Linked DNA regions of Xenopus tropicalis. The protein of the gene in region 1 purifies or fractionates together with the protein of each later gene. This does not show direct contact. Links are inferred from orthologs where the notes say so. Each region holds a gene or a part of one and is shown on either strand. Other genes may lie near its edges.

Region 1 (4,216 bases):
GACATTATGCATACCATTAAAAATTACCCATTTGCCAAACCTGTTACTTTAGCTGTTTTTCTTTTTTTACCAACCATATATGCCTGCCTATTCAATGCAGACCATAACATCCTGAAGAGCTTATGTTCAACCCACACACCTTGAGGTGACATTCATATGTTTATACGGATGTCCAAATGCTTTGCAGGGCTGCATTTGCTCTTTTCTGATTAGTGGGCTTTATTAGTGCACAATTTACCTGTTCTTTGCTTTTTGTAATGTTAAAATCTTCATCCATATCATCCTCTTCCTCCTCCTCCTCATCATCTTCAGAGTCAATATCCTCAAAATAATCAACATCATCATCGTCATCCTCCTCACTGTCTTCTTTCTCGACTTTTTCTAAATAGGCCTCCATTTCAGACAACTTAAAGAACTTGTCATCAAGTACTGACTTTTCACTAGGTTTAGCCATTGGTTTTTTATTTGGTATCTGCTGACTCTGCTTCTCCAGTTTATCAATATCAAAGTCCATATCTGAATCATCATCATCACTGAATGCCTCCACTGGTGTTCTCTTTGGTCTTTTAGTATCAGCAGTTTTTTTCTTCTGAGTTCTTTGTTCATCTTCATTTTCACTAATTAACTCTGACTCTTCTGCTGACACACCTTCCTCATCTTCGTATTCCAATTCTGATGGCTCTTCCTCAGTTGACTGTATGAGATAAATATCCTTGTCTTTTTGTGTCTTACTAACTGCTTTCTTGAAGTAGCCAAGAACAGCATTGTTCTGCAGTTCTAGTTGCTGCCATATTTGCTCTTCATCAAAATTCTCTATAATCAGCTTTTCCAATGGGCTTCCCACCTCTAGTGCAAGCTGTGACTTTTGCAAATCATAAAGAGCTTTTGTTAAACAAGAGAACTCTGTTGCCAATTCATCCTGCACACTGAAAAAAAAAAACAAATGTATTTTAAAATACTCCTGCAAATAAGTAAAAAAAAAAAAATCATATGTACTTTATTACAATGTAGAAGTATGGGATCCATTATCTGGAAACCTGTTATCACACTCCATTATAAGCAAATAATTCTAATTTTTAAAATGAATTTCCTTTTTTTCTGTAATAATAAAACAGTAGTTTGTACTTGATCCCAACTAAGATATAATTAATCCTTATTGGAGAAAAAAATATTATTGGTTTTGTTAATGATGAAACAACCCCCAGAAAACCCAAGGTCCCTACCATTCTGGATAATAGGTCCCATACCTATATTTATAAAATCTAACAGTTGCCCACATTACTAGAGAGCAGAGTTTAGAATAGATAAAAATATCACACTCACAATAGAGCAGAGAACAAGAGTGTAGCACTGGACAGTATCATACAAACAAACTGTATTAATGTATTCTACTGTACAGCTCTGCGTACATAAGTAGCGCTTTATAAATAATGATATACATACATACATACATACTGACACAACAGCTATACGTGCCTTGGTGTTAAGTGTGCAACCAAAGATGGGAAAAGGGAGAAAATGCATACCAAGTAACAAATAGTTCTGTAGAATGCAATGGTGTTTTACAGAGCTTATCTTTGATCTCCTATGAAACCTGTGCCATTACGCACCCTCACACAAGAGGAGATTAGTTGGCCCACGGCAGTGACAAATCTCTTCTAAATGCTTTTGAACTGGCAATAATGTAAATTGCCATTGGGAAAACATATGAGTCGTTCGGCTTTCGGAAGTCTCCCACAAGTTTGCTTCGAGAGGAAAATGGGCAACTTTGGAAAGCCGAAGCAACACATTTTTTTTTTCCCACCAGTGATTGACATTATTGCCGGTGGGAAAACATTCCCACACTAAAGGAGATTAATTGTGGGGGCGACTAATCTCCAAGTTTGGCAGCGCTCTTAGCCTTATTTTAATTTAAATAGCTTCCCCCCATGTCTACACAGCAGCTTTGTTTATATAATAGTATATAGTAGGCATTTTACTAGTGCAGGACAACAGCACATTAAATTTTAATTATTTTAAAACACATTTTAGTGTTACCCCCCTACCTCTTTCACATATAACTTCTCTATTTCGTGCTCAGCATAGTCCTATTAAACATTAAGTAAAAAAACAAATTGAATTCATTTATTATAAAAGTGTGCCTTGGGTACCCAATGCCCTAAGTCCTTCAATGTGTTGAGACATGTCAAGCTGTTCAAACTATAAGATTGTTATTGAGAGAATAAGCAAAGTCGCTCAGTGGTTATAAATGGTTCAGATGCATAAGCTCCAACCACAGACACCATAACTATAGTGTGTATATATATATAATGCATAAAACAGCACTTTTCTACTCTTCAAAAAAAATGGTTAAAGCGTTTTAAGGATATGAAATAAAGGTGTATAATAAAGGTCTAATTATGTGTGGTTCTGGTGTGGATATGGAAGATTTTACGTACTATTGTTTTTTTTTTTTTGCATTTTAAAGAACAGAGATTAAACAAATCTTCAGTATCCTTGCCAGTTTATTTTTAATTATTTTATGTAATTATGGTTTTTCTCAGTGATTGGCACAGGCAGCTCAGTGAGTCTCCAGGATTTAGTCCAGCACACACACAAATGTTATAGCAGTAAACGATGGAAATAAACAGCATAATCATAGGCTAAGAGGATATAGCAGCCAATAAGGGTTCTTTCTCTGTACCTCAGCAACTGCTCCGGGTGGGCACTCACTAATTCCAGAACCTCCATGCACTGTTCCAGCCCATGCCTCGGTTCTTCAGAATCTGCCATCATCCTTTGCCACGATCAGCGCAGCTCACTCACATGTTCCATAGAGAAGAGGAAGTGCGCCTACGAAACCACTCCGGCCGGAAACGTTTGCTACAGTGCTATGGTTCCGTAAGTACAGTAAGACACACAAACTGACTGATATCCGAGTAGGATATGTCTAGCATATGTGCTTGCTTTACACTATGGCGTATGGTAACATGTAATTGCGAAAAAGGTCTTTCATGCAAGTACTTTTGGCAGTATTGTCTGTGCCAATAAAGCTATCCTGATTCGCTAACATGGCGGATGCCTTGGATTGTGACAGGTAAGAAAAGCGGGGTATTTGAGACTCACGTATACGCTGCTTGTTTCAAAATTGAGTCATTAATTATGTTTTAGTACCAGCTGCTTGGTGTGTATTTTTGGTACTTCGCTTTTACATTTTACTGCCAGTCACTACCATCTATGAGAGTTAATTACACCAGACCTTCTTATTACATTACATTAACATTTATTTATAAAGCGCCAACATATTCCGCAGCGCTGTACAATAAGTGGGTTACATACATTGGACATGCAGAGTAACATATAAAGCAATCAGTAACCGATACAAGAGGTGAAGAGGGCCCTGCCCAAAAGAGCTTACAATCTTATTTCTTGATATAGTCCTGGGGTTTACATGTCTATAGAAATGGTTGTTTCTTGGGAATGGTCCAGGTTTTAAAAACTGCACAAAGGCTGTTTATTGATACTAAAGTCAGAATTAACACTTGTAGTCTGCTAACACTGTATAATAACCACGTTATTGGAAAGGGATCATAATATAATCATTCATATTGTATGGCAAAGGTTGCTACCATATGACCCGGCCAGTAAAAAATATACTGGTTTTCAATGTGTAAACATAATAGAAAGTTTGTTTGTTTGTTTTTTTTTAATTTAATTGTGACAAAAAATAATTCTTTTGGCAGTCCTCTATCTACTTAATCTTTCTTGTGTTTGCAGGAGATGAACAATGCATTCAGAGGCTTAGTCAAAGTATATATCCCAGTACATCAGAAATGAATTCTCCTGAAAAGAAAAAATCCCGCAGAAGTCTATCCATATCAAAAAAAAAACCTAATGTCAATTTAAAAAACATTCAGTCACCAAGAAAAACATCAGTGTCTCCATCAATTATTGCCCTATTTAAAAATGCACCTCCTGCAAAGCTCTCTTGCCCTCTTTGTGCTGAAATGGTGCCACGATTTGGCCTTAACAAACACCTGGATGAAACATGCCAAAAAGCAAAGCAATGTGCTGACGATGTCATACTGATTGAAGAACAGGATTCCATGCAGTCAGAACAATGTCAAAGCACCCGACCATTAGAAAACATCAGAAATCCAGTCTCTAAGACTAGTCCTTCTAAAAATAATGAGAAACAAACAAGCTCATATTTTAACAAATGCAGCCCTGTAAAGGA
Region 2 (4,214 bases), on another chromosome or scaffold:
CCAGTACAGCACAGCATTATGGGTAACTATGGGACTCCCCCGCACCCCTATTACCCCCAGTACAGCACAGCATTATGGGTAACTATGGGACTCCCCCGCACCCCTATTACCCCCAGTACAGCACAGCATTATGGGTAACTATGGGGCTCCCTGTACCCCTATTACCCCCAGTACAGCACAGCATTATGGGTAACTATGGGACTCCCCCGCACCCCTATTATCCCCAGTACAGCACAGCATTATGGGTAACTATGGGGTTCCCCCGTACCCCTATTACCCCCAGTACAGCACAGCATTATGGGTAACTATGGGACTCCCCCGCACCCCTATTACCCCCAGTACAGCACAGCATTATGGGTAACTATGGGACTCCCCGTACCCCTATTACCCCCAGTACAGCACAGCATTATGGGTAACTATGGGACTCCACCGCACCCCTATTACCCCCAGTACAGCACAGCATTATGGGTAACTATGGGACTCCCCCGCACCCCTATTACCCCCAGTACAGCACAGCATTATGGGTAACTATGGGGCTCCCCGTACCCCTATTACCCACAGTACAGCACAGCATTATGGGTAACTATGGGGCCCCCTGTACCCCTATTACCCCCAGTACAGCACAGCATTATGGGTAACTATGGGGCTCCCTGTACCCCTATTACCCCCAGTACAGCACAGCATTATGGGTAACTATGGGACTCCCCCGTACCCCTATTACCCCCAGTACAGCACAGCATTATGGGTAACTATGGGGCTCCCCCGTACCCCTATTACCCCCAGTACAGCACAGCATTATGGGTAACTATGGGACTCCCCCGTACCCCTATTACCCCCAGTACAGCACAGCATTATGGGTAACTATGGGACTCCCCCGTACCCCTATTACCCCCAGTACAGCACAGCATTATGGGTAACTATGGGGCTCCCCCGTACCCCTATTACCCCCAGTACAGCACAGCATTATGGGTAACTATGGGGCTCCCCCGCACCCCTATTACCCCCAGTACAGCACAGCATTATGGGTAACTATGGGGCTCCCCGTACCCCTATTACCCCCAGTACAGCACAGCATTATGGGTAACTATGGGACTCCCCCGCACCCCTATTACCCCCAGTACAGCACAGCATTATGGGTAACTATGGGACTCCCCCGCACCCCTATTACCCCCAGTACAGCACAGCATTATGGGTAACTATGGGGCCCCCCGCACCCCTATTACCCCCAGTACAGCACAGCATTATGGGTAACTATGGGGCTCCCCGTACCCCTATTACCCCCAGTACAGCACAGCATTATGGGTAACTATGGGGCCCCCGTACCCCTATTACCCCCAGTACAGCACAGCATTATGGGTAACTATGGGGCTCCCTGTACCCCTATTACCCCCAGTACAGCACAGCATTATGGGTAACTATGGGGCTCCCTGTACCCCTATTACCCCCAGTACAGCACAGCATTATGGGTAACTATGGGGCTCCCTGTACCCCTATTACCCCAGTACAGCACAGCATTATGGGTAACTATGGGGCTCCCTGTACCCCTATTACCCCCAGTACAGCACAGCATTATGGGTAACTATGGGGCTCCCCCGCACCCCTATTACCCCCAGTACAGCACAGCATTATGGGTAACTATGGGGCCCCCCGTACCCCTATTACCCCCAGTACAGCACAGCATTATGGGTAACTATGGGGCCCCCCGCACCCCTATTACCCCCAGTACAGCACAGCATTATGGGTAACTATGGGGCTCCCCGTACCCCTATTACCCCCAGTACAGCACAGCATTATGGGTAACTATGGGGCTCCCCCGCACCCCTATTACCCCCAGTACAGCACAGCATTATGGGTAACTATGGGGCTCCCCGTACCCCTATTACCCCCAGTACAGCACAGCATTATGGGTAACTATGGGGCCCCCTGTACCCCTATTACCCCCAGTACAGCACAGCATTATGGGTAACTATGGGGCTCCCTGTACCCCTATTACCCCCAGTACAGCACAGCATTATGGGTAACTATGGGACTCCCCGTACCCCTATTACCCCCAGTACAGCACAGCATTATGGGTAACTATGGGGCTCCCTGTACCCCTATTACCCCCAGTACAGCACAGCATTATGGGTAACTATGGGACTCCCTGTACCCCTATTACCCCCAGTACAGCACAGCATTATGGGTAACTATGGGGCTCCCTGTACCCCTATTACCCCAGTACAGCACAGCATTATGGGTAACTATGGGGCTCCCTGTACCCCTATTACCCCCAGTACAGCACAGCATTATGGGTAACTATGGGACTCCCTGTACCCCTATTACCCCCAGTACAGCACAGCATTATGGGTAACTATGGGGCTCCCTGTACCCCTATTACCCCCAGTACAGCACAGCATTATGGGTAACTATGGGGCTCCCCCGTACCCCTATTACCCCCAGTACAGCACAGCATTATGGGTAACTATGGGACTCCCTGTACCCCTATTACCCCCAGTACAGCACAGCATTATGGGTAACTATGGGACTCCCTGTACCCCTATTACCCCCAGTACAGCACAGCATTATGGGTAACTATGGGGCTCCCTGTACCCCTATTACCCCCAGTACAGCACAGCATTATGGGTAACTATGGGGCTCCCTGTACCCCTATTACCCCCAGTACAGCACAGCATTATGGGTAACTATGGGACTCCCTGTACCCCTATTACCCCCAGTACAGCACAGCATTATGGGTAACTATTACATTACGGTATTGGGGGGTATTGGGGGCCCCTAACACTCACCATGGTTGCGCTGTTCCGACCCCACGTGTAGCCCCTGAGAAATACCGGAAGAGAACCCCGGAAGTGACCTCACTGCGCCCCAAAGAAAGATGGCCGCCAGTGACGAACAGGAAGTGGTTTCCGTGACATGTCCCGGCTCTGTGCTTCCGCGTTGGGCAGTCATGTGAGTGGGTAGGAAGCACAGAGGGGCCCGGGAGTGAGTGAGTGAGTGGGTCGGGATGGGGTCGGACACGGAGGTGGCGCTGCTGTGCGGGCGGCTGGATGCGCTAACACTGCGCCTGATGGAGGAGCTGGAGAGTCTGCGGGACAAGCGGGAAGCGCTCAACCAACACATTGAGCAGGTACTACAGCTCCCAGCATGCACCCCGGGCCCCTGGCTGATTGGCTCATACCTACCTGCCGGGGGGGGGGGGGGGGGTGTATGTTCCCCTAGTGCGCTCCCCGTGTAACCCTTTCCTACCCCCCAGGGCTGGCTGTGCCTCTCCCAGGCCCGATACTCTATGGGGAACAAGCGTGTGGGCTCCCTGCACTACCGACCCGACATGGCGCCCCTCACCCTGGTACAGAGCCGGTAAGTACCCCCATGCATCTGCCCCCCCATGCATCTGCCCCCCCATGCATCTGCCCCCCCATGCATCTGCCCCCCACCCTGGTACAGAGCATGTTAGTACCCCCTATGTATCTGCCCCTCACCCTGGTACAGAGCGGGTAAGTACCCCCCCATGTATCTGCCCCCCCTATGTATCTGCCCCCCCTATGTATCTGCCCCTCACCCTGGTACAGAGCATGTTAATACCCCCTATGTATCTGCCCCTCACCCTGGTACAGAGCGGGTAAGTACCCCCCTATGTATCTGCCCCTCCTATGTATCTGCCCCTCACCCTGGTACAGAGCGGGTAAGTATCCCCCTATGTATCTGCCCCTCCTATGTATCTGCCCCTCACCCTGGTACAGAGCGGGTAAGTACCCCCCCATGTATCTGCCCCCCCCTATGTATCTGCCCCTCACCCTGGTACAGAGCATGTTAATACCCCCTATGTATCTGCCCCTCACCCTGGTACAGAGCGGGTAAGTACCCCCCTATGTATCTGCCCCTCCTATGTATCTGCCCCTCACCCTGGTACAGAGCGGGTAAGTATCCCCCTATGTATCTGCCCCTCCTATGTATCTGCCCCTCACCCTGGTACAGAGCGGGTAAGTACCCCCCCATGTATCTGCCCCCCCTATGTATCTGCCCCTCACCCTGGTACAGAGCATGTTAATATCCCTATGTATCTGCCCCTCACCCTGGTACAGAGCGGGTAAGTACGCCCCCTATGTATCTGCCCCTCCTATGTATCTGCCCCTCACCCTGGTACAGAGCGGGTAAGTACCCCCCTATGTATCTGCCCCTCCTATGTATCTGCCCCTCACCCTGGTACAGAGCGGGTA
Region 3 (4,256 bases), on another chromosome or scaffold:
CATTGGTCCCAATCAGGTGGTGTCCGTTAAAAAACTTAAAGTACAGTGATAACTCTCATCCAAAACAACTACAGTTGTTAAATATCCCTAATTTCCATAGACAGTACAGGTATGGGATCCCTTATCTGGAAACCCGTTATCCAGAAAGCTCCAAATTACGGAAAGTCCAACTCCCATAGACTCAATTTTAATCAAATAATTCAGAATTTTAAAACTGATTTCCTTTTTTTCTGTAATAATAAAACAGTACCTTGTACTTGATCCCAACTAAGATATAAATAATTCTTATTGGATGCAAAACAAGCCTATTGGGTTTAAAAAATGTTTTCTTGATTTTTTAGTAGACTTAACGAACTGCATACAAGTCCCTTCACCTGGTTTCTCATACCCCCTTCCTCTTTTAGATCATAAGCTCTATTGAGCAGGTATCTCTTTACTTCTCATATTGGTTATATATTTTTTGTTTTATGTAATCTATGGGGCACATTTACTTATCCACGAATGCTCTGAGCGTTCGTTCAATTGTATTTTCCGCAACTTTTTCGTACCTTGCGCGACTTTTTCGTACCTTGCGCGACTATTTTCTATATTTAGCGCGAAAAAATCAGATCAGTTTGCCCGCTGTTTACAATCGTTCGGTACGAAAATTTTGTGACTTTCAGATCGCCAATACGTTATTATCGTGACAAATACGATTTTTTCGTAAGCATTTTCGTGATATTTGCGATCTTCAGAAATTTGCGTTTCCAATCTGAATTTTTCCCATTCGGGATTCGAAACTCGTCTTTTGATAAATCTGCCCCTATATGTTAGATGTATGCACACCCTTCCACAGGGCCAAACTGGAATGTGCAGGGCCCACCAGGGCTGCCACTTCAGGGGCCCACCACTCCCTCTAGGGGCCCCTGCCATCCTCCCAAACCCCCCCCCCCACTATGCAGGTATACCTCATAGCAACCTTGCTGCAATAGGGGGTCTGGGTTAGCAGGGCTCACTGGGTTTTTTTCCAGTCTGATCCTGCCCTTCTATTATACAGCAATGCAGAATATGCTGGTGCTATATAAATAAGTATTAATAACAATAAAAGTGTTTCAGTATATTGCCACATATTTATTTATATGCTTGTAGGGCAGCAGCACTATGACCAGTCATTGTTAGTTCATAGTATCTGTTTACTGATAGTTTCACTCTATCATCTGTAGTCACTGAAAATGTGGCAATAAATGCAGTTATATAGTTAAAATCTGTAAAAAATTTAGCATGCACGTCTAGGTTTGTCATATACTGTTAGGTGCTCAAAACAGTACATATATTACAACAGTGTACTTGGAAATGATGTTGAAAGATATTAACCACCCCTTGTCATTAACAGCTGGGAAATAGTAACGGTATGAGATATGGTACAGCGTATACAGTAACTCCATCAAGCCTCAGCAATACGCATGCGCTCAGCTGTCCAAGGAGGCCCCGCCCTCTACCCGTGACCTCACAGAGCTTTCCGGTACCGATCCCTGCTTCTGCCTCACAGAGGGGAACAAGCGGTACCCCGGGCCCGCAGCATAAACGTATCTTTCCGCCCTGCTTCTCTCCTTCGCCTTTGTAACTCACGCGAAATGGTTCGCAAGTTAAAGTATCACGAGCAGAAGCTGCTGAAAAAGGTAGACTTTATTAACTGGGAGGTGGATAATAACATCCATGAAGTCAAAGTGCTGCGAAAATACCATTTGGATAAGCGAGAAGACTATACTAAGTAAGTGTCGCCTAACTATGTCAAAGCGAAATCATTACAGCTATGTTTCATTCCGATATGTTGTTTACAGAATGGCGATTAGAGTGTATAAATACCTCTCGTACACGTGTGAAACGGGCGCAGCCATGACACTTTCACCATGACAACAATATGGCCTACTTCCGGGAACGCAGAGGCTCTTGTTAACAGCTGAACTCAGTCTTGTTATGTTTATTAAACATGCTGACCGAAACACATGACAAATCAGAGACACTTTTTAAAATGTAATTAGCAAGGCTGGTCTAATGGCAATCAGTGTTTAAATACAAGAATAGATTGAAGATCCTTCAAGGATAGAAAATTGCTTTTTGTATTAGAAGGGTTCCTTATTTTTCTAATAGTAACATATTTATATAGTAATATCAGTGTGATGGTGCCTTAGATTGAAACACTGCTGATGAAATATATTGATGGGGTGATTAATTCTGTTGCTGTACAGTGGTATATTGCATTGCTTACAGAGGCTGAAAATGTTGACTTTCACTGAAATCTCAGTGGTCCCAGATGCATACTGTTGTGTGACATGTGTTTACATTACTTAATATCTTATATCAGGGGTCCCCAACATTGTTACCTGTGAGCCACATTCAGGTGTAAAAAGTGAAACCCAAGCATGACAAATTTACCTGGGCATACCAAATAAGGGCTGTGATTGGTTATTTGGTTGCTCCTATGTGAACTGGCAGCCTACAGGTGGATTTTATGGAGACCAAAACTTACTCCAAGCCTTGAGTTAAAAAAAATAAGAACCTCCTTTAAGGCCCTGGGAGCTTCTTCAATCAAGGGTTGGTGAGCAACATGTTGTTCTTGAGCTACTGGTTGGGGACCACTGCCTTATATGATGCATGATCCCTATTATTCATTTGCTTCCACAAGTAGGTTTGCCACTTGACCAGTAAAAATAATGCTTGATGCCAAAAGCCCAGTAAATGTCCTTTGTGTCATTAGGCTTTAGGGCTATAGCATGGGGCAAGTTGGTATTTAATACACACTGCCCAGCAGAATGGCACTTGCCATTCTTTCAACATATTGATATGCACACTTTTTTGACAGTTTGAGCAATGCTACGTGTATAGCTTGAGGTGAGGCATGTGAACACCTTCTGTTTTCAGAAGACATTTCTCCACATTTCTTTATTTAGAGGACCTTTTGGCCCTTCTAACCCTAACCTTGCTTTCCAAGTTTTATCCTATCAGAAACCATATTCCAGTATTTTGTGCTAATGAGATCTTAGATGATGGAAAATATCAAGAGCATGTAGTACTTTTCAGGCAAGAGACTAGAAGTGTTAACCTCATCCCTTAAATAGTGGGTTTATATGAAATGTACTTGCTGCAAGCTTGATTAGTAATCAAATAATGCATGAATGCTTAAAAGAGTGTTGTCTTCTGTATGCATTTCTATGCAATGTCACCATGTTTATTTATGAACAAGGTTTGCATCAAACTTTAACAAAGAAACATGCTCATAACTGTTCCTTTATATTTCCTTTATTGCAGTGCCTATTTTGTGTTGGCTATAGGGGTCTAATAGTTCACTTATTCTTGCTATTCATTTGTCCTGTAGGTACAACAAACTCAGTAGAAATATCCGAGAACTTGCCCAAAAAATTAGAGACCTGGATGAAAAAGATAAATTTCGTGTCCAAAGTACTGCAAAGCTCCTAGAGAAACTGTAAGTATGAAATGAAGTTTTATTAGCCCCAATGGATAGGCTGCAAATTTAAATATATCCTTTATATACATTTATAGGTATTTATTTTCCATTGTGTGGGTGCTGCCAGCACTCTACATCTTGTCGCGTCATTTTTATTAAATAGGTATATGAAGTATAGATTTTGAACCATACATATTTTGAATTTGCACTTGCATTTAGCTCTTGAACAACGGTTTGGAGTGTATTGACCACTTTTTTATGCAGGCCAAATGCCTACAGAATGATTTAGGCAGTCGGATGACCGTAAGCACCTATAAGGTATAATAAGCAGCCCCACCTCTGTTGCTCCTTGGGCAGTCAGATCTGTATTTGGCTTGCTGCTCTAGGTCAAAAATACAGCACTTTTTCAAAACGGGTAAGGAAAATGTGCAAGGGTGGGAAAGCCATCTTCAAATATTAAGTTTTAGTTCACCTTTATTCTTGGTGTGCCCCCCATAAACTTGTATTCTGTAGGAAGATAAGCCAAACTTCCACATGGTTTTACCTCTTATTTGATGTTCTCTCTTTTTGAAAAACATGTTGTAATTGGAATTGTTTATTCTTATTAAGGACAGACTTCACTCAAGGACAGGCAAGACATAATTAAACAAAAGATAATTAAATAATTAAGACATTTATTCGGATTGTGCATTGAACTTTTTTTTGGTTTGTGTGTTGCAATACTGGCCAACACAACTCTTTGGGAACACAACCTGATGGTAGGTATGGCTTGGGTGTAAGAGTTCCCTTATCTGGCATTTGTTAGAGGGTC

Evidence for each region. Proteins that work in one complex are often made in the same cells at the same time.
Region 2: the proteins of mphosph10 (region 1) and imp4 purify together in Homo sapiens (affinity purification with mass spectrometry; 3 studies listed by BioGRID and IntAct, with this or other methods). This does not show direct contact. The link is inferred for Xenopus tropicalis from reciprocal best matches to the Homo sapiens genes MPHOSPH10 and IMP4.
Region 3: the proteins of mphosph10 (region 1) and imp3 purify together in Homo sapiens (affinity purification with mass spectrometry; 4 studies listed by BioGRID and IntAct, with this or other methods). This does not show direct contact. The link is inferred for Xenopus tropicalis from reciprocal best matches to the Homo sapiens genes MPHOSPH10 and IMP3.

Annotation. Positions count from the first base shown.
Region 1 is NC_030679.2:97,027,699-97,031,914, reverse strand, and holds the start of mphosph10 (U3 small nucleolar ribonucleoprotein protein MPP10), read right to left. Parts: upstream 2,801-4,216; 5' UTR 2,776-2,800; coding exon 2,684-2,775; intron 927-2,683; coding exon 239-926; intron 1-238. Other genes in the region: fan1 (fanconi-associated nuclease 1), read left to right, coding at 3,058-3,076, 3,757-4,216. UniProt on the Homo sapiens protein: Component of the 60-80S U3 small nucleolar ribonucleoprotein (U3 snoRNP). Required for the early cleavages during pre-18S ribosomal RNA processing. Part of the small subunit (SSU) processome, first precursor of the small eukaryotic ribosomal subunit.
Region 2 is NC_030684.2:596,861-601,074, reverse strand, and holds the start of imp4 (U3 small nucleolar ribonucleoprotein protein IMP4), read right to left. Parts: upstream 2,808-4,214; 5' UTR 2,787-2,807; coding exon 2,784-2,786; intron 1-2,783. Other genes in the region: ccdc115 (coiled-coil domain-containing protein 115), read left to right, coding at 3,002-3,124, 3,251-3,354. UniProt on the Homo sapiens protein: Component of the 60-80S U3 small nucleolar ribonucleoprotein (U3 snoRNP). Required for the early cleavages during pre-18S ribosomal RNA processing. Part of the small subunit (SSU) processome, first precursor of the small eukaryotic ribosomal subunit.
Region 3 is NC_030680.2:118,013,535-118,017,790, forward strand, and holds the start of imp3 (U3 small nucleolar ribonucleoprotein protein IMP3), read left to right. Parts: upstream 1-1,449; 5' UTR 1,450-1,613; coding exon 1,614-1,750; intron 1,751-3,355; coding exon 3,356-3,463; intron 3,464-4,256. UniProt on the Homo sapiens protein: Component of the 60-80S U3 small nucleolar ribonucleoprotein (U3 snoRNP). Required for the early cleavages during pre-18S ribosomal RNA processing. Part of the small subunit (SSU) processome, first precursor of the small eukaryotic ribosomal subunit.